2 linked regions of the Macaca fascicularis genome follow. The protein of the gene in region 1 purifies or fractionates together with the protein of each later gene. This does not show direct contact. Links are inferred from orthologs where the notes say so. Each region holds a gene or a part of one and is shown in the gene's direction. Other genes may lie near its edges.

What was found. Proteins that work in one complex are often made in the same cells at the same time.
Region 2: the proteins of NIPSNAP2 (region 1) and HADHA purify together in Homo sapiens (affinity purification with mass spectrometry; 3 studies listed by BioGRID and IntAct, with this or other methods). This does not show direct contact. The link is inferred for Macaca fascicularis from reciprocal best matches to the Homo sapiens genes NIPSNAP2 and HADHA.

The regions. Positions count from the first base shown.
Region 1 is NC_088377.1:74,087,931-74,091,577, forward strand, and holds part of NIPSNAP2 (protein NipSnap homolog 2), read left to right. Parts: intron 1-1,140; coding exon 1,141-1,224; intron 1,225-3,122; coding exon 3,123-3,187; 3' UTR 3,188-3,647. UniProt on the Homo sapiens protein: Protein involved in mitophagy by facilitating recruitment of the autophagy machinery required for clearance of damaged mitochondria.
Region 2 is NC_088387.1:95,997,053-96,001,313, forward strand, and holds the start of HADHA (trifunctional enzyme subunit alpha, mitochondrial), read left to right. Parts: upstream 1-1,405; 5' UTR 1,406-1,440; coding exon 1,441-1,507; intron 1,508-1,687; exon of another isoform or gene 1,688-1,879; intron 1,880-4,261. UniProt on the Homo sapiens protein: Mitochondrial trifunctional enzyme catalyzes the last three of the four reactions of the mitochondrial beta-oxidation pathway.

The DNA.
Region 1 (3,647 bases):
GTGAGCTGAGATCGCGCCACTGCACTCCAGCTCGGGAAACAGCAAGACTCCGTCTCAAAAAAAATAAAAGGAAAGTAAAAAAGAAAGAAGGCATCTGGATGAGATACCTGTGAATTGTACCACGACACAGGTGATCCCCCTCCACCTGAAGCGCCTTTCTTCCCATTCCTACATCAGTGATGTCCTTTTCAACTTCAACACCCACCTGGTCAACTTGCACCTTTCCCACAGCTCTCCCATTGCCTGCCCTGCTCCCCTGTACACTGTGTCCTTGCATGGGCCACAGCACTCTCCACGGCTGATCTTGCCTGTCTCATATCCTGGGGCTTCACATGGAACACACCCGCTACCCAGATCAGTGTAGTGCGAGATAAATGTTGAGTAAAGTTGATCTGACATTGCTTATCTGTGGTCTCACAGTTTCTGGTCATGAATTTAACATGTTATTGGAGAAGTTCACTTGGTTTATAAAGGTATATCGTAGATTCACTAGATTTTAAAGCTTAAGAGGGAATTGTGGCCGGATGTGGTGGCTCACGCCTCAAATCCCAGCAGTTTTGGAGGCTGAGTCGGGAGGATCGCTAGAGTCCAGGTGTTTGAGACCAGCCTGGGCAACATAGTGAGACCCCATCTCAAACAAGCAAATAATTTTTTTTAACTTAAGAATGGGCCAGGTGTGGTGGTTCACCCCTGTAATTCTAGCACTTTGGGAGATTGAGGCGGTTTGATGATTTGAGCCCAGGAGTTTGATGTCTGCCTGGTCACAAAAAAATACAAAAATTAGCCAATGTGGTAGCACTTTCCTGTAGTCCCAGCTATTCAGTGGGCTGAGGTAGGAGGATCACTTGAGCGTAGGAGGTCAAGGCCATGGTGAACCATCATCATGCTACTGCGCTCCAGCCTGGCTGACAGAATGACCCTGTCTCAAAAAAAAAAAAAAAAAAAAAAAGACTGAAAGTTTGCTTTTCCCACATGGCCTAATATAATTTTGCTCAGTGTTTCCCCAGCCCAGTATATTACACACCTGAAGTAGTCCCTGAGAAAACTAGATGCCCAGGTGAAGCAAGACCTTAACATATGTATGGGTGGAATGCAGGGTATATGTTTTAAGTCTTACTTCTCTGTGGGGTTATTTTTAAGCTTACAGGGATCTTCAGACCAGGGAAGACATACGGAATGCAGCATGGCACAAACATGGCTGGGAGGAATTGGTATATTACACAGGTAATCTCTTAATAGCCATGAAATAACGCTTTTTGTCTTACTGTTTCAATCATGTTCTTTCACCCTGACACTAATAGGTGGCTTTTATAATAGTGTGTTACTAGGATAGTGAGTCATCAGGTTGGGAGGGGAAGGGAGATAGTCAATTTTTCTCTAATACTTACGTGACGTTTTTCAATAAAGCAGAATATCCATTCTTTCAAATATGTTTATCATCTGTTACAGTTTTCAGACCCTTGGATGTTGTAAATTGTACATCATTACCTTTCTTTGTAGATTTCTATATTGTCTGAAAACTTATTACACAAATAAAATTTTTTCTAAGCTTTCCTTTTCCATCAAAATTGTTAGTATCCCAAATCAGAACTTAATATATCAATTAAAGAGTGATTTTGAAATTAGATAAATTAAACTTCCTGTATGTACAGTATGTATACATGGGTACATAATACATGCATGTGCACATACATAAGTATATTATTAAACCCTGTTTGCTTGATTTTTATAAGAAAACAGTTGGCTGAATATAACCCAGTGCATTGGTAGAGGTAATCAGTACCAGCCATGTTGCATGGCAAGTATATTTCTGGCCAGGCGCAGTGGCTCACGCCTGTATTCCTAGCACTTTGGGAGGCCGAGGCGGGCAGATCACCTGAGGTCGGGAGTTCGAGACCAGCCTGACCAACATGATGAAACCTGTCTCAATTTGAGAGGCTGAGGCAGGAGAATCGCTTGAACCTGGGAAGTGGAGATTGTGCCACTGCACTCCAGCCTGGATGACAAAGCAAGACTCCGTCTCAAAAAAAAAAAAAAAAAAAAAGTATATCTCAGCCCATATACTACCAAGAAAATAAAAGAGTAATTTGTCCTAGAAAGTAGATGTTACCTTGTCTTTTAGTTCAAGAGATTATATAACATATAATTGCATGTTATAATTATATAATTTGATTTGATTTTGCTGCTTACTCAAAGAACGTTTGAGAAATCACCATTTTTCTCACAATAAGACAATACAGACTTTCCCCACCTCCTACAAATAAAACAAATCTCCAGGTAGCATCTGTTGTAATTTTTTCTTCCTTTTTTTTTTTTTTTTTTTTTGAGACGGAGTCTTGTTCTGTCACCAGGCTGGAGTGCAGTGACGCGATCTCGGCTCACTGCAACCTCTGCCTCCTGGGTTCAAGCGATTTCTCCTGCCTCAGCCTCCTGAATAGCTGGGATTACAGGCAGGCGCCACCACACCCAGCTAAGTTTTGTATTTTTAGTAGAGACGGGGTTTCACCCTGTTGGCCAGGATGGTCTAGATTTCCTGACCTTGTGGTCCACCTGCCTTGGCCTCCCAAAGTGCTAGGATTACAGGTGTGAACCATCGCACCCAGCTGATGTGTTGTAATTTTAATAGCATCTTGTAGGATGCCAGCTGATACAGGGCCCACTTCTATATTTCTGCCCTTGAGGTTAATCCTGTATATTATGTTTTTTTTTTTTTTTTTTTTTTTTGAGACCGAGTCTGGCTCTGTGGCCCAGGCTGGAGTGCAGTGGCGCAATCTCAGCTCACTGCAAGCTCCAGCTCCCGGGTTCACGCCATTCTCCTGCCTCAGCCTCCCGAGTAGCTGGGACTACAGGCACCTGCCACCGCACCCGGCTAATTTTTTGTATTTTTAGTAGAGATGGCGTTTCACCTTGTTAGCCAGGATGGTCTCGATCTCCTGACCTCATGATCCGCCCGTCTCGGCCTCCCAAAGTGCTGGGATTACAGGCTTGAGCCACCGCGCCCGGCCTAATCCTGTATATTATGACATTCTCTTGTTTTCAAGCAGCACAATCTGTCTGTTAGTGTCATTTACCATAATGTGTTTAGAAAAGAACAAGTGCAGTAACCCTGATCCTATTTTCAGTTCCACTTATTCAGGAAATGGAATCCAGAATCATGATCCCACTGAAGACCTCGCCGCTCCAGTAAAGCTGTAGAGTTTCTATGTGCCTACATACATTTCTGTGACAAGTATTTGTCATAAATTAATTTTAATTGTATATCACGTGAAAAAGAAACACTGAGGTTTAAGCTGCTGTATATAGCTTGTGAGAAACCTCTTTTCTTTAAAATTTACATAATCACAAGAAAGGAAAGAATTACAGTTGGACTGATTGTGACAGTGCCCTGTTGTCCTCTTTGAAACACCCCTGTGTTGTCCAGTGTACCTTATAACACTTAGCCACTTCTCCCCACCCTCCAGGAGGGGTCCACATTGAATTCTGAATCATCTTTTTTTTTTTTTTTTTTTTTTTTGAGACGGAGTCTCGCTCTGTCGCCCAGCCCAGGCTGGAGTGCAGTGGCGCGATCTCAGCTCACTGCAAGCTCCGCCTCCCGGGTTCACGCCATTCTCCTGCCTCAGCCTCCCGAGTAGCTGGGACTACAGGCG
Region 2 (4,261 bases), on another chromosome or scaffold:
TGTAACTTGAGCTTTAAACAGAAACGTCTCTACTTTGCTTCTGTACTCCTCATTTCAGTCTTACCTTCGATGCCCCTTGTTTCCAGTCTTGCAGAGCTGTCAGTCTGGTGAGCAGTGAGACTCAGACTTATGTCTGAATGCTAGCTCTGTCATAGACTAGAAAATGTATATAATCTGAGCTTCCCAAACTTCATCTAGAAAATGCAAATGATAATAATTCGGGGAATGTGAGGATTAAACAAAAAGGTATGAAGGTGACCAGAGCACACCAGGCTCTCAATGTGACTTCCTTTTGAAACCAATCACTTTATTGCAGGACTCCAGCCCCTCTTTCCAGCACAAAAACAGCTACCATGCAGTGAAGAACTCTTCACTAGGGCTTAGTAGACTTAGGCTCCAGTCTTATTTCTACCACATGTGGCCATGGGTATAACCACTCCCTCTGATTCGCAGGCAGTTTCTTCACCGCTGAAGTGAGTTGAGGTGTGAACGACCAGATAGATAGTCATCCATCGGAAAACCCCCGAGAGCACAAGATTACCTGGATAACCGAGCGGGATGGAGGATTGTCTCCGTTCCTCCCACACTCAAGCACCGAAAGGTCACCTGACCTAGTCTTATCCTTTATAGCAGAAACCGGGCAAACCCATGGTGCGGTCCACAATCTCTATAGCCGCCGACATGGGTACAGGGGAAGCAGGCGAAACAACACACACTCCTAGGCAGACCAGGGTTACGTTAAGGCCGACGCCCACACACATCCACACACACCCCTACACACCCAGACTTCGCTAACTTGCGATGATAAATTAGGGCGCAGGTGACACCACTGTCCCGAGCTTCAGTTGGAACGCTAGTCCAAGTCACTGTCCTAACTGCAGCTAACACTGCCGACCTTGTCCGAGGAGGATTTTCCTTCCGCTCCCTCAACTCCGACTCTCCCAGGGAGGGGACGGGGCCGGGGACACCGGCGACACTTGCAGGGAAGGAAGTGGGATCTCGCCTTTGGGAAAGCCCGGGCAGAGAGCTGAGGGCTCGCTGTCTCACCTTGGCTGACGTCCGCTCGAACTCCTACTCAGAGAAAGGTCCAGGCCCTAGTGCCAAAGCTCTGCCGGACCAAGGGGCGGGTCCTGCCCCGAAAGGACCCCTCACCCCGCGGGCGGGCACGGCCTTTCTTGCGGGCTGCCCTCCGGCCGCCTGACTGGAAAACCTGGCACTCCGCCCCTCCTCTCCGGGCCCCAGTCCTTCACCGAAGAAAGGGACCTTTCGGCCCCGTTAGCGAGGAGCGAGGTGCAGAGCTAAGGGGCCGGAGGCCACTCGGCGTCTGGGTTTTAGTCAGGCAGTGCGCCAGGCGCCTGGTCGCCAGGCTACGGGAGGAAAAGTCCTCCGGTTGGCCGCACCCGTTAGAAGCGCTCTTACTGCTGTCCTCTTCAACTCAACATGGTGGCCTGCCGGGCAATTGGCATCCTCAGCCGCTTCTCTGCCTTCAGGATCCTCCGCTCCCGAGGTGAGGCCTGGCCGAGGGCATCCCAGACCTCCGGGCAGAACTCCTGCGGGGACTGGGTTGGCCCCGGAGCCGCGTCTCCCTTTCGCTGTCGCCTGCCCCAGCCCAGAGACCCAGCCCTCTGTGGGGAATACTGCCCTGGGACCCCGTTTCCTGTGACCTTGTGAAGGGACTGTCACTTACCCTCTCACGACTCCTGCTGCGATTTCAGGCTCCCTAACTCCCAAACTTTCTGAGTATGGTGCCACTAGTTCTGTCACCTTTCCGCGGGTCTCCTGCGTCGCACTTCTGGGCTCACGCCCCTCATATTTTCTTGATCCGGAGTTCCAGAAGAATCGGGATCCATTCTGTCGCATCTTTGTGGCTCCACAGCACCTTGCGCCGCGACAAGAGCTATCTTAAAACCTTGGATGGGATTAATCAGCCTTGCAGATCACTGCCCCTCCCTGCTCGGTTCCCTCAAAACCATTTTTGTGCTTGCTACCCCATTCAAGTAGGGAGCTCGACTCCTGCAGTTTCAGTAATGCCAGTGTGAACGTATAGTATTTTGAATTTCAACGGGAAGTTCTGCAACTTACTGGAAGACACACTTTAAAAATACACTAATACCTCTACCTTAAGGAATAAAATGTTAGATGGTTTTGAGAACGATTTCTAATCTGATGATTCCCAGTCAACCTCTGTTAGCTAGTGTTTTTCCTTTTCAAACTGGCAGTGAAAGGGCTAAAGTAGGTGGTTGTAGGAAACCTTGCATTTTCCTTCCATCCCAAATCTGTAAAGTCAAATGTGAACGACATTTTATTGCATGTTGTGTTTAATAATTTACTTAATTAGAAATTTTAACTTTTAATTTAATTTGTAATATGAATTACCTCTCCTCCTCCGGAACCTCTGAAGTAGTATGCTTTTTTTAGCCACGTAGCTGAAATCTCTTTACTGTAAGGGGATTATTTTTCTGCCTCCTTTTTTCAACTGCTGTTTTTAGTCTCCACAAAACTGTCGCATATATGTGCCAATTATAACATAAGCACATTATAGAACTTTGAAATGCTGAAAGGATTGAGGAAAGGGATGAAAAAAAAAGATCACCCATTGTCTTACTACTCATATGCTTACCTACAGTTAGCCTTCGGTTATATTTCCTTACAGGTTTGGTGGTTTTTTCCCCTATTTTCACAACACTTTTGAAAAGTCACATGTATAATTTTTATCTTACCCCTGTATTGGTTTGAAGGTATTTCTTATGGATTGGCAGCTGATGTCACTTGGAAGTGGTAGCCAGGGCACGTGATTCTAGTCACTAACTAGCTGTGTGACTTTGGACAAATGCCTTAAACTAAATGTAGGCTTTATTTTCCTCATCTGCAAAATGAATGATTGAGATGATAGATTTCCTTTGCATGAGAAGTAGCATGACAGAGCAATTAAACCCATTGTTTGGGCCGGGTGCGGTGGCTCACGCCTGTAATCCCTGGGAGGCTGAGGCGGGCAAATCATCAGGTCAGGAGATCCAGACCATCCTGGCCAACACGGTGAAACCCCGTCTCTACTAAAAATACAAAAAATTAGCTGGGCGAGGTGGCGGGCGCCTGTCGTTTGGAGTCTGACTTCTGGGTTTGGACCTAGCTCTGCCTTTTACCCTCTGGTGACCTTGGGCAATTAATTTCTGTGTGTGTTTTCTCATTTGTAAAATGGGGAATAATACCACCTTGTGCGATGGAAAGGAGTTATTTTAGATACCAGGCAGTTTTTCATGGAGTAAGCACTCAGTAAATATTATTAACTACAGCCTGGAAGAAATACGGTTGTATATGTCTGAGAATTTTTAAAAGTAATTTTTACATCTTGTATGTGTAATAAAAAGCTACCAACCTAATTTTTCTGTTTTTCTGTATAGAAATATATAGACACATAAATATATATTTTGCATTGTGTTTTCACCAGTAAGAAAGTGTCACTCATTGTAGTTACTGGTCCATTAATAGCAGTTTATAAATTTTGAAAAAAGTCTAGAAAGTGAATTTAAAATGACCTGCACCCTTATATTACTATTTAGACTCAATAGATCCTTCACACTAAAAGTTTGTGCAAGGCTTTGCCAAACATTTAATGAGATTATGACGTTTGCTGGTGGATGATAAAATTCTCTTGAAATGGGGCCAGGCGGGTGGCTCATGCCTATAATCCCAGTATATTGGGAGGCTAAGGTAGACCGATCACTTGAGGTCAGGAGATCGAGACCAGCCTGGCCCACATGGTGAAACCCCATCTCTACCAAAAAATACCAAAATTGGCCAGGCGTGTTGGTGCGCGCCTGTAATCCCAGCTACTCAGGAAGCTGAGGTGGGAGAATCGCTTGAACCTGGGAGGTGGAAGTTGTAGTGAGCCAAGATCACACCTGGGAGACAGAGTAAGACCATATCTCTCAAAAAAAACAAAAAAAAATTCTCTTGAAGGAGACTTGTAATTCTTGAAATTTTAAAGCATACTTTCTCTACAAGTGCTATAATTCTGAATGTGAATATCAAATGAAAATCACTTCTTGACCAAAATGTTGTCTTAATTCCCACTCTTATCCTAGATCTAAATTCCTAATTATGTAAGTAGTAAAATAATTTCACAGGAGATGAATTTAGAGGCAAATACCTTAATAGATGGTGGGGTTTTTTTTTTTATTTTTATTTATTTATTTTTTTGAGACCGAGTCTCACTGTGTCACCCAGCCTGGAGTACAATGGTGCGAACTTGGCTCTCTGC